Linked DNA regions of Tamandua tetradactyla. The protein of the gene in region 2 interacts with the protein of the main gene of each other region in a pairwise test. Links are inferred from orthologs where the notes say so. Each region holds a gene or a part of one and is shown on either strand. Other genes may lie near its edges.

Evidence for each region.
Region 1: the proteins of MID2 (region 2) and CCDC120 interact in binary tests that used the Homo sapiens proteins (3 or more experiments, as listed by UniProt). The link is inferred for Tamandua tetradactyla from reciprocal best matches to the Homo sapiens genes MID2 and CCDC120.

What each region holds. Positions count from the first base shown.
Region 1 is NC_135353.1:121,100,615-121,108,653, forward strand, and holds the start of CCDC120 (coiled-coil domain-containing protein 120), read right to left. Parts: upstream 3,026-8,039; 5' UTR 2,701-3,025; intron 1,373-2,700; exon of another isoform or gene 1-1,372. UniProt on the Homo sapiens protein: Centriolar protein required for centriole subdistal appendage assembly and microtubule anchoring in interphase cells. Together with CCDC68, cooperate with subdistal appendage components ODF2, NIN and CEP170 for hierarchical subdistal appendage assembly.
Region 2 is NC_135353.1:63,688,334-63,696,270, reverse strand, and holds the start of MID2 (putative E3 ubiquitin-protein ligase MID2), read left to right. Parts: upstream 1-4,898; 5' UTR 4,899-5,072; coding exon 5,073-5,076; intron 5,077-7,937. UniProt on the Homo sapiens protein: E3 ubiquitin ligase that plays a role in microtubule stabilization. Mediates the 'Lys-48'-linked polyubiquitination of LRRK2 to drive its localization to microtubules and its proteasomal degradation in neurons.

The DNA of each region.
Region 1 (8,039 bases), about 57 Mb from region 2:
TACAAACATCCCTTCCTATGTAGAACTTAGGAACCAAACAGATACATCCAGATACGATTTTTGAGACAGAACTAGTATCCCTCAGCTCAATAAATGTGAAACAGAGCTGTTTTCCCTCAGATAATTTGTCCCAATTCTCACTAACCAAAATCAGAAACTGAATGGATTCAGATACAGTCTTGGGACAAAGCTAGTATCCCTTAGCCTCCAAACCCTCCATATTTGCTACCCAGACACAGAACCCTTCCTACTGGCCAAGCCAGATACATTTGAAACAGCCGATTTCTCTCATTATCTGACCTCTCCCTATTAAATTATCGAAAAAGCAGCAATTGAATATGTTCAGACAACTTGTTTGCTCTGAACTCTCACTACCCCAAGTCAGGAGCGAATGGATTTACATATATTTTGGAGAAAGAGCTGTTATCCCTCACTCCCTGAACCTTCCTTACTCACCAGGCAAAAGGCAGCAATGAAATATATTTACACAACACGGTACTTCTCACTCTTCAACTCTTGTCACCGGAATTCAGGAAAGTGAATAGATTTGAATATACTTTTGAGTTAGAGCCTCATTATCTGAGCTCTCTCTACTCACCAGGTAAAATGAGGAAACTCAAATACTTTAGACAACATGGCATCATTCATGTCTGAACTATCAGAACTCTCCCTCTCAGAATTCAGGTACCAAATAGTCTGGGAGAGTGAGGGATGCTTGTGTTGTTATTATTAATGGGTTTAGATAAATGAGCTGGGTCTGGTATCCCTCACTTTTCAAACTCTCGCCACTTTCTATGAGAAACACAGAAAAAAAACATAATTGAATAAGACATTCCCCCCAAATTCTCCCTACCCATCCTCAGAATTCAGAAGATTCAGACAGTGACGGATCCTATTGTTGCTGCTGTTGTATTGTTCCTTCTGCATCAGCCTGATTCTAACATCCAGTGAACTCCCGGCCCCACCGTCCCAGACCTGCCCCACAGAGGTGGGGTGGACTTAGCATGAAGATTTTTGTTGTTTACTGCCAAGAGAGGGGGATAAATTCCTGCCCTAATCCTACCCACTCCAAGCCTGGAAGCCTGTAACTTAAAATGGACTTTTTTTTTTTCAGGCCAGTAAGGCAGGGATCGCACACACACCTAGAATCAAGACCAAGGGCTTGAGCAGTTACACGACCAGGAAGACACACATAACCCCAGGTTCATCTTTTACCAACCCCCTCTGACGTGGGGCAGTCCCCAACTTAGCAAGCCTGGAAACATAACCTGGACCGTGCAGACTCCCAGAGAGCCACTGAATAATTTAGGGTGTTCTTTTGCACTTGGGGAGGGCAGGGGGCGTAAGAACAGTTCCATGCCCTCCTGGAACAGAGAGAAAAATGCAAGCTCTGTGTGAGATCACTGGGGTGGGGGTGGGGGTGGGGGTGGGAGGAATCACATACAAAAAACCCTATCAGCCACACTGGCCCTACAAGGCTGTTTGTTTCAGGGAGCTGTGGGTCATGGGGGAGGCAGGGAGAGAATGCCATTCCCCCTCTTGCTAAGAGAAGCATCTGGGATATACCTCAGAGGTCCTAGGAACCGAGGAATCCCCAAGTTCAGGGGCAGGGTATAATGGGATCCCTGCCCTTCTGGGTTCAGAGGGTATGGGAAGGAGGGAGCAGGGTGGAGGGGCATAGTAAGGGGTAGATAATAGGGTCCGGGGTTGTGACAGGATATAGGGACAGGACAGGAAGGTGTGTAGGGGACAAGGCAGAATCAGAGTCATCATAGGACAGAGGTCAGGAGGCAGGCCTGGGAATGAGAAGGACACTGGCCAGGGGATAGGATAGAATGAAGTTCAGGACAGGGGTAAGAGAAAAATCACAAGGGGAGAAAACACCAGGACAGGGCTCCAGGTCTGTGTACAACCTTAGTCAGAAGACTTGATGCGGGACAGGTGAAGACAGTGGTCATAGAAGGGGCTAGGGAAAGGGGCAGGTTCAGGACGGAGGTCAAGAACAGGAAAAGACCAGGGCAGAATGAGGAAAGGAGTAAAGATGGTGATGAAACAAGAGAGGACTGGGAAAATCAGGACAGGATTGGGGGAAGGGACTGACAGGACAGGAGACATTCCAAAGGTGGTAAACCAGCTATTAGGGGAGGGGCCAGGGGGACGGTACAGGGTGGGGAGAAAGCACAGAAGTCAGAGGTCAGGAGTCAGGATACAGCAGAAGCAGACTGAGGTCAGGGGGGTAGAACATGCCCAGAGGGGGTTAGAGACCTGGACAGGGGGTTAGGGAAGAGACAACAGAAACTGAGGTGGATGTTGGGCATCAGGACAAGGCCAGACGAGCTTCAGAGATGAGACAGGGTCACACAAAGACCCGGGTTCAGGCCCAGGATCCCAAGGACAGAACTGGGGTTTGGGGTCAGTGCTAGAGGGTTAAGGGGGAAAAAAAAAAAAAAAAAACAGGTACAAATGATCAAAGCAGGCCAGAACATGGTTAGGTCAGCGATCAGGGCTGGGGTTCTGGGGCCAAGGGTGGCCGAGTTCGAGGTTAGGAAAAGAAATAGCCAGGTCAGGGCATGGGTCAGGAGTGAGGCCACCAGGTCAGAGGTCGCGGGGTGCGCGCCCAGGTACGTCCACCGTCGGTATTTCCAGGCCCTCACCCCGCCCTGTCCCTCCCCTGCCGCCCGGGACCGGGTTATGACTCACCGAGCGTCCTCGCACCGCGACGTCAGCGGGGTCGTGTCAGCCGGGAGGGGTAGTGGGTGCGCCCTTCCCTCGCCGAGCTCCGATCTTACCCGGGCGCGCGCCTATTCCCCTTCCGCGCCCTGCCCGTGGACCGCGTGCCGCCGCGAGACCGTTAGGCGTGGGGGCCAGACGGGGGACGCGAGAAGGGTGGGAGAGAGGCGCCAGACTCCGCGCTGCGGGTGGGGAAGCCCCGCTTGCCACCCTTCAGTTAAGTCTGTGGGCTTCGGCGGCACCACCGCCTCAGCCGCTGAGCGCGAGCCCCGGGAAGAAGGGGGAGGGGGCGGGGCGCAAGACCACAGCCGCGATGGGGCCCAAGTGCGCAAGCGCGAGCTCCGGACTTCAATTTTCCTGCCCTGGGAGCGCCCAGAGCGAACGAGCTGGAAGCGCGTGCGCACGCGCCTTCTCGAGGGCAGCCGCGCCAGCTAAGGAACAGGGCCTAACAGTGCGCGCCCCTGGAGCGCTCTCGTTCCCGGCCCGGGTCCCGCCCCCACCGAGGCCACGCCCCCTCAATGCCCAAACTGGGGCCCCTAACCCCAGGTCACCCTGCCCTCAAACAGCCCCTATAACAGACTTCTAAAACGCTCCCAACTACCCACCATGTCATCCCCAAATGCACCCCCAAACCACCCTCCAGTGACCGCCAAGCTATGCCCAAACCACACTATATTGACCCCAAGCTATATCCCTAAATTGTCCTCCATGGACATCAACATTGCACCCGAATTAATTATCAATGAATCCCCAAACCACACTCCATCAACCCCCAAATCACTACCCATTTGCCTCTGAATTTCAGCCTCAAACCACCATTCATTGCCCCCCCCCCCATTGACCCGCAAGCAGTACCTCCAATCTACCCTCCATGGACATCCAAGCTTCACCCATAAACTACCCTCACTACCTAAGTTGTTCCCCCAAACCATGCTCCATCAACCCTGAAATCATCCAACATTAACCTCCAACAGTAGTTCCAAACTACCCCCATCTATCCCCAATATATGCACCCAAAAACATGCTTCATTATCCCCAAAACCACCTCCCATGTACTCTCCAAACTACCATCCATTGCTCCCCAAGTCACTCACCAAGAGTCCCCAACATCACCCCAAACACTCAACTATCTGCAGTGTGGCCCTCACCTGCCATTCAAATCACTATCCAACAGTAACCTATGATACCTCCAAACCATGCTCCGTGGACCCCCAAACCACCCTCCATTGACCTCTCTTAATTACCTTCCAACAGCCCCCATTACTATCTCAAATACTCCCAACTACTCTTAGGTGTGATCCCAACTGCACTTCAAACCAGCCTCCAACACTCCCTGCACCTCCAAACCACAGTCCACAGACTTAAACTTCACTCCAAACCACTCTCCAACAGTCCCCAATTATACGTCCAAATAGCTATCAACAACGTTGCTGTAGTTATCCAATGAACCCCCAAATCATACTCCAGTGGCCCCAAATGTGTCCCCCAAACCCTCCAATGATTTTTTTAAAATATTTTTATTGAGAAATCTTCACACACATGCACTCCATTCATGCTGTACAATCAATGGCTCACGATGTCATTCATAGTTATGTATTCATCACCATGATCATTTTTTAGAACATTTGCATTACTCCAGAAAAAGAAGAGAGAAAAAACTCATACACACTATATCCCTTACCTCTCCCTCTCATTGACCACTAGTATTTTCATCTACCCAATTTATTTTACCCTTTGTCCCCCTATTATTTATTTATTTATTATCCATATTTTTTTTACTCATCTCTCCATACCCTGGATAAAAGGAGCATCAGACACAAGGTTTTCACAATCCCACCATCACATTGTAAAAGATATATCTTTATGTACAATCACTGCAAGCTAGGGTCTATAGTCAATAAAAACATTGTAATATGCTTCCACTCAATGTAATGAAGACATTATGCCAAAACTAAATGTCAACGGGGGGGGGGGTATGGATTTTTTGTGGAAGAAAAGGAAATGTCTTCATGTAGATTATGGTGGCAAAGGTATGTCTGTACACTTAGGTTGGATTGCATGATGTGTGAATAAAACTGTTTAAAAATGAACAGAGAGAAATAAGTGCTAGAGAAAATGTGGTGAAAGAGATGTACCTATTCACTGTTGGTAGAGAAACTAGAGGTGCAGCCTCTTGGAGGGCAGTGTGGTGGTTCCATAGGAGGCTAGGGGTGAGTTTCCATATGATCCTGCAACCCCGTTACTCAGTATATACCTGGAGAAACTGAGAGTGGGGACACAAATGGGCATTTGCACACTGGTGTTTATGGCAGCAGTGTTCCAGATCCACAATGAATGCAGGTGGCTAGAGGGTAGAACGACTGAGGAATGGAAGGGGGAACTATGGCGTATACATACAACAGACTACTGAGCAGTGGCAAGAAGGAATGAAGTTGTTAGGCATGCAACTAGGTAAATGAACCTTAAGGACTGTATGTTGAATGAAATATCAGAAACAAAAAAACAAATATTGTCAAGCCTCATTCATATGGACTAACTATAATGTAAAAACTTGGTGAACTGAAGTCGGGAGCATGGGTTATCAGGTTGGGGCCTATTGTAAAGGATCCTACATTGTAAGCTCTTACAGCAGTCACATATATTCATGAGTTGTAACTGTTAATTTTAAATTCTGAGATACTGAGCTGTTTGTTTATGACCTGGTCATTTCCAGAAATTTCAGGTATTTATGTGACAGCTGAGACTAAGAGTTAGAGCTCTGAAGCTATGAAAGTCAGCATTACCCCATATAGGAACTGTTTAAAAAATTGAAAAAATGATTAGACATCAAGTAGAGATATGAATGAAACTGATCTGGATAGGACTAAGGAATATTAGAAGACTGGGTAAAGGACGATATCATCCAGATTTAAAAATTTCAACTCCCTGAGTGAGACTGAAGTGAGAAATGATGATTTGGTGCAAAATTTATATTTTGGGTGTGCATTTCCTAATTTAACTTGCATGGTCAGTTTAGTTGAACACCATAAGTACATGGAATCTTGAATAAGGCATGAGATTGTGTTGGCTTGTCCAGATTAGTGTGATGTCCTGATAAATACCAAAGTGATTTGGACAGTTAATAAAGAAGTATTTGCTAAGCCCCCTTGGGGGAATGGGGAGAAAGGGGGAAATATTCACGTTCCCCATTTGGAGAATTTCTGATATTCTCGCAAGCAGTGGGGACAACCAAATCAATAGGCCAAGCCCTCAATCTTGGGGTTCGCCCCTATGAAACTTATCCCTGCTAAGGAAAGGCTAAGCCTACTTAAGATTAGGTCTAACAGTCACGCAGAGAACCTCTTTTGTTGCCCAGATGTGGCCTCTCTCTCTAAGTTGACATGGCAAGCTAACTCACTGCCCTTACCCACTATATGGGACATGACTCCCAGGGGTATAAATCTCCCTGGCCATGTGGGACAGAAATCCCGGGATGAGACAGGACCCAGCATCACGGGTTGATAAAACCTTCTTGACCAAAAGAGGGAAGAGAAAAGTGAGAAAAAATAAAGTCTCAGTGGCTGAGAGATTTCACGCAGTTAAGAGGTTATCCTGGAGATTATTCTTAGGCATTATATAGATATCCCTTTTTAGTTTATGGTGTACTGGAGTGGCTAGAGGAAAGTACCTGAAACTGTAGAGCTATGTTCTAGTAGCCATGTTTCTTGAAGATGATTATATAACAACATAGCTTTTACAATGTGACTGATTGTGAAAATCTTGTGTCTGATGCTCCTTTTATCTACAGTATGGACAGATGAGTAAAAAATGTGGATAAAAAATAAACAAATAATAGGAGGAACAAAGGTTAAAATAAATTGGTTAGATGCAAATATCAGTGGTCAATGACAGGGATGGAACGTATGAGGGTTTTTTCTCTTTTTCTGGAGTGATGCAAATGTTCAAAAAATGATCATGGTGATGAATACACAACTGTGTGATGATAATGTGAGCTATTGATCGTACACCATTCATAGAATGTTCGTATGTCAAGAATGTTTGTATGTTTGTTTGTTGTGTACAATAAAAATATTTTTTTAAAGAAGAATCAAGGCTACTGGAACACAGCTCTAGAGTTTCAGGTGCTTCCCTCTAGCTACTCCAATACACCATAAATTTAAAAGGGGATATCTATATAATGTATAAAAATGGCCTGTAGGAGACTCAGCATCAAGGGACTGAGAAAAACCCTAGAATGAGCTGAGAATTAACATCAAGGGATTGAGAGAACCTTCTCGACCAAAGGGGGAAGAGTGAAATAATACTAAATGTCAGTGGCTGAGAGATTCCAAACAGAGTCGAGAGGTTATCCTGGAGGTTATTCTTATGCATTAAGTAGATATCACCTTGTTGTTCAAGATGTAGTGGAGAGGCTGGAGAGAACTGCCTGAAAAGGTAGAGCTGTGTTCCAGTAGCCATGTTTCTTGATGATGATTGAACAGTGATATAGCTTTCACAATGAGACTCTGTGAATGTGAAAACCTTGTGTCTGATGCTCCTTTTAGCTACTATATCAGCAGAAGAGTAGAACATATGAAATAAAAATAAATAATAGGGGGAACAAATGTTAAAATAAATTTAGTTTGAAATGTTAGTGTTAAATGAAAGCGAGGGGTAAGGGGTATGGTATGTATAATCTTTTTTTCTCTATTGTTTTATTTCTTTTTCTGTTGTCTTTTTATTTCTTTTTCTAAATCGATGCGAATGTTCTAAGAAATGATGAATATGCAACTATGTGATGATATTAAGAATTACTGATTGTATATGTAGAATGGATTGATATCTTAATGTTTTGTTTGTTCATTTTTTTTTAATCAATAAGAAAAAAATAGCCTGCAGGATAACCTCTCAAATCCAAACTCTCTCAGCCACTAAAACTTTATTTTGTCTCATTTCTCTCTTCCCATTTTGGTTAAGAAGGCTTTCTCAATCCCTTGACGCCAGGTCCTGGTTCATCCCAGGATTTTTGTCCCACGTTGCCAGGGAGATTTACACTGCTGGAAGTTATGTCCCACATAGGAGGGAGGGCAGTGAGTTCACCTACCAAATTGGCTTAGAGAGGCCACATCTGAGCAACAAAAGAGATTCTCTGGGCCGCCAATGATTTTAAACTGCACCCAAACCATACTTCAGTGATCCAAATATATCCCAAAACACCCTCCCATGATCTTTTCCTAATATAACTTCATTGACATATAATTTATATATCATAAAATCCACCTATTTTAAGTGTGCAATTCAATGATTTTAGTAAATTTAACAAGTTGTCA
Region 2 (7,937 bases):
TTTTGTTAGTAGGATCAAAATATGTTACATACAAAGGTAACCATTAAATAATTATAAACAAATAATTTTTCCACGTACTCCCAGCCAATTTTGCATCTCCTGCCAGATACAAAACATTTACTTTAATAAGTTTACAGTGTGTAATTTTCATAAAACCACTGAAAGTGGGGATATTTTCAAAGCAGCGGCTTATGTGATGTGATTAGCAAAACCTCCCCACCCCCTTCCACCCCCCCTATACTATTAGTCATTCCTTTGATTTACTACATTGAAGGCCTCTGTTAAAATCTGAATATTTTCTAAGGGGGAATGAATGAACTATAAGCATCTTAGTTCACATTAGTTGATTGAATTGCTTAACCACTTAGTAAGATCCTGTGTGAAAGGGACACAGAAGCAGGTAAATTTTGAAGAGGGAAAGGAAAGGTTCCGAATATAGATTGTTGCCTGGGGAAAGTAGATGGAGTTAGGGTATCAGTATAGAGCTCTGGTAAGCCGAGACTTGCTTGAAAGCAGTGGAAGCCCAGATGGAGGGGAGACTGCTAAAAAGTGAGGGGTAGGGTGGTTTCTATAGGACAATAAAAGCCATTAAAAGCAAATCTTCTCTACTACCAGTTCTGCCAGGAGCTATCTAGCTTTCTTGTGTGTGTATATGGAGGGGAGTGGTGGCTGTGGTGGTGAGTATTGTCCATAAGAAAAGCTGTAACTTCTTTATATTTTAGAAAATTCACCACCTTTCTGTGGGAGATCAGATCAAATGAGGTTGAAAAATAATTCACAGGAATCAATTGACTTCTGACTCAACTTTGGGTTCAACATTTTTTTTTGAGAAATACCTTTTTCTTGATTTTAAAAAAACTACAAAAGGGATACATGAATAAATTCTTATTGTAGAATATTCAAATGGTTACAAAATATATTGAATAAAAAGTGAAAGACCTCTCAACACCCACCCCAATTCCAGGCTCACACTGTTTATAGTGTGCCCCCAGGTTATTTTCTATGCATTTACCTGCACATATAAGAATATTTTTGCATAGATAGGATAATCTGTATTTGTTCTATATATCTCCTTCTTCTATTTAATTTTTTGAAAAGGTAATACATGCACAGTATAAAAAAATTCAAACAATACAAAAGGACATATATAATGTAAAGTATTTCTCCCTCCTATGCTTGATCCCCCAGGCAACCAGTCATTCAGTTTCTTAAGTACCTTTGTAGAAGAGTCTATGCATATACAAGTATACAGGGACATATCTACCCCCCTTTCTTTTTACACTAGTAGCAAACCATGCATAGATCTGCACTTTCCTTTTTTCATTTAACAGTATCTCAGAGATTGTTTTATATATACATATTGTGCAGATTTGAAAGGATTTATGTACCCTAGAAAAGCCATGTCTTAATCCTAATCAATCTTGTGAGAACAATGGTTTCTTCTAATCCCTATTCAGTACTATAGGTTGGAAACTTGATTAGGTCATCTCCATGGAGATGTAACTCAATCAACTGTGGGTATTAAACTTGATTAGATGGAGATGTGTCTCCACCCATTCTATGTGGGTCTTGAGTAATTTACTGGAATCCTATAAAAGAGGAGATTCTGAGAGAGCAGAGAATGATGACAGCCACAGGAAAGCCACAGCAAAATACCACAGAACCACAAAGCAGAGAGTCCACCAGCCAGCAACTTTTGGAGATGAAGAAGAAAAATGCCTCATGGGGAGCTTCATGAACCAGGAAACCTGCGGAGGAAGCTAGCAGATGATGCCATGCTTGCCATGTGCCTTTCCAGATGGGAGAGAAACCATGACCATGTTTGCCATATCCCCTTCCATTTGAGAGAGAAACCCTGAATTTCATTGGCCTTTTTGAATCAAGGTATCTTTCCCTGGATGCCTTGGATTGGACATGTCTATAGACTTGCTTTAATTGGGGCATTTTCATGGCCTCAGAACTGTAAACTTGTAACTTTTTAAATTCCCCTTTTTAAAAAGCCATCCCATTTCTGGTATATTGCATTCTGGCAGCTAGCAAACTAGAACACAAATATAAACATATATATAACAAGAAACAAACACATTCTTTTTAAAAATCTTTTATTAATTTTTAAGTTTTTAAAAATATATAACAAAGAAACACAAACATTCTTAACTTATGATCATTCCATTTAAAATATATATTCATAATTCACAGTATCATCACATAGTTGCATATTCATCATCATGATCATTTCTTAGAACATTTACATTGATTCAGAAAAAGAAATAAAAAGACAACAGAAAAAATTCATACATACCATACCCCTTACCCCTCCTTTTCACTGATCACTAGCATTTCAATCTAAACTTATTTTAACATTTGTTCCCCCTATTATTTATTTTTATTCCATATGTTTTACTCATCTGTTGATAAGGTAGATAAAAGGAGCATCAGACACAAGGTTTTCACAATCACACAGTCACATTGTGAAAGCTATATCATTGATCACTAGCATTTCAATCTGCTAAATTTATTTTAACATTTGTTCCCCCTAATGAAAATAAAAATTATTCATTTTTATTCTGTATATTTTACTTATCTGTTGATAAGGTAGATAAAAGGAGCATCAGACACAAGGTTTTCACAATCACACAGTCACATTGTGAAAGCTATATCATTATACAATCATCTTCAAGAAACATGGCTACTGGAACACAACTCTACATTTTCAGGCAGTTCCCTCCAGCCTCTCCATTACATCTTGACTAACAAGGTGATATCTATTTAATGCATAGACTCTGTTTGGAATCTCTCAGCCATTGACACTTTATTTTGTCTCATTTCACTCTTCCCCCTTTTTGGTCAAGAAGGTTTTCTCAATCCCTTGATGCTGAGTCTCCGCTCATTTTAGGATTTCTGCCCCACGTTGCCAAGAAGGTCCACACCCCTGGGAGTCATGTCCCATGTAGCCAAGGGAAGGGCCGTGAGTTTGCTTGTTATGTTGACTGGAGAGAGAGGCCACATCTGACCAACGAAAGAGGTTTTCTTGAGGGTGACTCTTAGGCCTAATTTTAAGTAGGCTTGGCTTTTCCTATTTGGGGTTAAGTTTCATATGAACAAACCCCAAGATTGGGGGCTCAGCCTATTGCTTTGGTTTTCCCCACTGCTTGTGAGAATATCAAGAACTCTCCACTTGGGGAAGTTGAATTTTCCTCCTTTCTCACCATTCCTCCAAGGGGACTTTGAAAATACTTTTTACTCAGTGTTCAAATCACTCTGGGATTTATTGGGGCATCACTCTGGACAAACCTACAAAATCTTATGCCCTACTCAAGGTTCTATGTACTTATGGTGTTCAATTAAGTTGTTCACATAAGTTATATTAGGAACTGCAGTAGTCAAAATATAAATTTTGTACCAAGTAAGCATTTTTTGCTTTAGTCTGACTCAACTTTTACTTCTCTTGGGCCAGACTTTCATCAGGATAGCTTGGCTGTGATTTTTGTCTTGTTTCCACCTCAGTACTCTCTAGTACATTGTTTAACAGGGGTGTTGGCTGATTACTATTGGTTCCGTGATGGATACACCCAGAGCTAAGTTAATTTTTCTGGACTTGTTCCCATGCATAGTAATGAGAAGTCTCTGTGTGTGTGTGTGTTTGTGCATATTAACTCTCATTTGCTCCTTTCTTTCTCCATTTTCTCCCATGTTAAGACCAAGTTTTTTGTGGCCTCCTACTCTTTCCCTCTTCCATCTATGCCGTGAGTGAGGCAGCTGAGCCAATGATAGTAGAGAATCTGACTCCAGACCAACGGGATGCCCTGGCTTCCAGGTGGGCCAATTAGCTTATCAAGGATATTGAATACTTGAAGAGCTGGCATCTGTCCCCTTGTAAACTCTTGTTTTGATGGTCAAGGATTTGAAGGTGCAAAAAAAAAAACACTCACAAACAAAAAGCAACCCTACTTTATTTTATTTGCTCTGGTGGCTTTCTTTAATCCATCCCCACAACTTCTGCCCAAGGCCAATAAAACAGCCATTCTCCCTTTGTAAAAAGAAAGAGGGGTTGGGTTTCCTTCAATTGTCTGCCCTTTTCTGTCTCCTCCACTATTTTTGTTTTACTCTATAGTTAACTTTGCAAAGGGTGGCTTCACCCGAGAACCTATGCGGTTGGACCCAGGCACTTTCTTCTTAATGCCTATTGCAACATCCTTTTTCTTGTTCTGATCTGGGTGTTTGTGGGTCCAGGGTGGTGGTGGGTAGGAGAAGAGTTTGGCCATAGTCTTCTTTTTATATTCCTCACACATTCTGCGCTTTCTCTCTCTCTCTCTCTCTCTCTCATACACACACACACACACACACACACACACACACACACACACACACGCACACGCGCCTGCTTGGGCCCCTCTCGGTGTGTCTTCCTTCAAGATGACAGGGCGCTGGAGAAAAGGCTGCTGGAATCAGCTGGTAGGTACAGTAGTAACCCGAACCCCACCCACCCCGCTGCCTTTCCTTGCTCAGGTTTCTCCGGTCACTCCTGCCAGGGGAGAAAACATGTAAACGTGCCTCCAGAGGAGGGGCTGGGGAAGCTGGGAGCGGCAGGGGCGGAGGAAGGTGAGCCCGGGAAGGTGGCTGAGCGGCCCTCCTGCCAGGTTCTTCCCAGACCTCCCTCCGGGCGTCAGCCCAACCCTGTTTGCCCGCACTCTACCCCCCTTTTCGAAGGGATTGCCTTTTTTTTTCCCTCTGCGGCGGCGGAAATGACAGTGTGGTGCTGCCGTGGTGTCATGGTGCTGCCTGTGGGCTGAGGGGGCGAAAACTCTTTAACTTTGGCTTGGGAGACCCAACCGCTGCAGCGTCGCGGCCGCCGTGCTGTCACGGGCGGGGCGCGCGGGGCGGGCGGATCTCGGCTGCTGCGCGGCAGCGGCGGCGGCATTGGCGAAGGCGGCGAAGGCGGGCGGCGGCCTAGAGCAGTGGCGGCAGCGGCCAGGGACTTGGGCCGAAGCCGGAGCCAGCTCGCTGCGGAGGGAGGCGAGCGCCGAGCGCCCTCAGTGGCGCCGAGGAGATGGCTGGCACCTGGCAAAGCTATGGGTAAAATGCGCCCCCTCGCCGCGGCCCCAGGGGTGGAGCGCCGCCGCCTGCGCAGAGCTCCCGGGCTCTTGGCGCGCCTCAGGTGCCGCGGTGGCCCGGCCCGGCCCGGGCTGAGGGCTCGGATGCTCGGCGGGGCGGGGTGACCCGGCCCGCGAGGCTCACGGCAGCGGCGCGGCCCCGGCCCGGCCCTGACTCTCCGTTGCACCGCTGGGGCCCAGGCTCCTGCCCTTGCTCTCCTGGGACTGGAGTTTGCACTCCCGGGTGCGGGTGGGGGCGGCCCGAGGCCTCCCGCGCAGCCGGATCGGCCCGGAGCGGGCAGTGAAGCGCCCCCACCCCGCCATCCCGCAGCCTCCGGCGCCTGGGCGCGAGTCTGGGAAAGGGCAGAGCCGCCTTCCCACGCTCCCGCTGTCTGCAGCCTCCTCGGCCCCGGCGGCGTCCCTCAGACAGCTGGTTGCCCCGCGGTGGCTGCCGCAGCAGTCCGAAATGCTGAGGACATCCTGGTGGTGGGAAGGCCCGGCGAAACTTAATCCCTCTTCTGCCAGAGGAGCAATCATCTAGTCTCTGTATGGGTGGCTAATTATTTCTGGCCTAGCTGTGAAACCAGCTTTACCGGGGAGAGGAAAAACTTACATATGTCCGCAAGACAGACTGCGACTGACTGGGGAGACGTGGGGTTTTAACATTCCTGTCTCCTAAGAATTAAGTAAATAGCGGTGGAGTAGATTTACAGAAACATTATTTGTTGATGATAAGGTTTAGGTTACTTAGCCCTTCGTGTGCAGCGCGAAATTATTTTTCGGAGGCATTTCTTCTCAGAGCAGGAAATTGGGATTCTATGGTCGCTGGGTTGTTCGCTTTCCCTCTTCCACACTCCCCTACCCACCACGCTCACTCACCTTCTTTCCACGTTGTCGCACATCTACCCACCCACTTCAAATCTCCCATATGCTCCCACCCCACCCCTCAGCCTTTCCCCATCAACCTGTGCACTCTAGTAACCTCCCAGCTGTGCAGCCTTTTGCTTCTCAATCTCTTTGCCATTTTCAGTATTTCTGACGTTGGGGTAGTAACGGTTTTATGTTTCTGAGGTTAAAACAAAAGGGAGAGACCCTTAAAAAAGAAATATATTGGAAGCTGTGTAAATAGACAAGTGCTGTGTGTTGGTTGATATTCGTCTGATTCTCAAATTGGACCCATGAGGGCTGCCTTTAACCCCACAGAGTCCTCTTCTAGTTCTCTAATCAGTTCTCTGGCAATGCTCCAATAGAAGGGGGTGGTGGTGTCTGAATTGGAAATCCCTCTCCCTACTTCTTTTCTGCCCTGAAAGCACTGCTGCTCCACTCCAGCTGGGTACCTCTCCCAACACTATATCCCCCTTTCCACTTGCTCTTCACTTATCACTGTTCTGAGGAGGGAAGAACTTTTGCTATTTTATTATATATATATAAAAGATATATATATATATATATATATATATATATATATATATATGTATTCCTGACCAATCACTTAACAGAGATATATTTTTTCATTTTTATTTTCTATTTTTTTTTGGCCTGGACAGGCTCCAGGGATTGAACCTGGGTCTCTGGCATTAACAGAGATATATAATATGAATTAGGCTTCTCCTGATTGTTCTTCACAAGTTGATTTATGTGGTTGAAATACAGGCCTAGGAGCCAAGTATATCAGAGAATTCATCCCAAATCTGATGTTGCATTGACCTTATGGCTTTAGGGCATTCCTATGACCTTTCTTTCATAGTCGGTGCACTTGTGTAAAAGGCATAAAGTTGTGTGCTGGGGTATTGTGAGTCTTGACTTGGTCCTTTGAAGATGAAAGGTTTCTATAAACCCTCAACATTATACTTTTCAAAGAAAGTACTTCATTTACCTTGTATTGGAATGGTGGATTGACTAGGAATATCAGAAACTCTAGTTTACTGGAAACTTTAGCTTGTCATAGCAGCTACCCTGAGAGCCAAATCTCTGATTGTAGTTATGTTTAAGTCTGTTTTTTTTTTTCAGTAAGCATACAACTGAATGAAAACTAAAACTAGGTGTACAGAGTAATGGTGATTATTTTAAGTTATCTTAAATTCTGCTGAAAAAAAATGGCATAAGTAATTTTAGACATGGCTATATAAGTTAGTATCTAGCAACAGTGAGTCAATATTTATTAAGCACCTACAATGTGCAGAGTCCTGTGCTGATTGCACTGAGGCCCCAGGCTTGGCCCAATGTTTTGGCTTCTTGCTTATTTGAGGCCTACTTTCATACTTGCAGCTCCAGGATTGGGAAAGGGAGGAACTATGGAGGGTAGGGGTAGAGGCTAGCCATATGAAGGGGTGATTGTTTCCTTCCCATTTACTTCCATGACTACTAGAATTCTCATCTATTATATTGTACCTTGCAAGGCCTCCTCTGGGAAGTGTTGCCACAAATCAATGACTTGGTTGTTTCATGAACATATCATCTGAACAGTACAAATTGATTTAAATGAAATTGGTTTAGTTAATCCCTCCTCTAAGTGAAGGGCAACTTGCTCTGACTTGCAGATCCTAACACAGAGCTGGTGGAGTCTCATAATTGTCTCCAAAAATTGCTCTGGGTAGTGAGCCTGTTCATTCTCTCATCCCTCCTCCCATAAAATCTGCTGACGCTATAACAATTGAGAAGGAAACTACAGAAGGAGTATGTCTTTACCACTCAGCAAACCTCACTGGCTTGGTAGAGAGGAGAGAATGTCATCTTTTCACCCCATCCCTCTGTGCTCCAGTTTCCTCTTTCCCAAAAGGGACACAGAGCTTTTAAAAAGAGGTGAAGAGGGCAACGGTGGCCCAGTGGCAGGGTTTTCGCCTG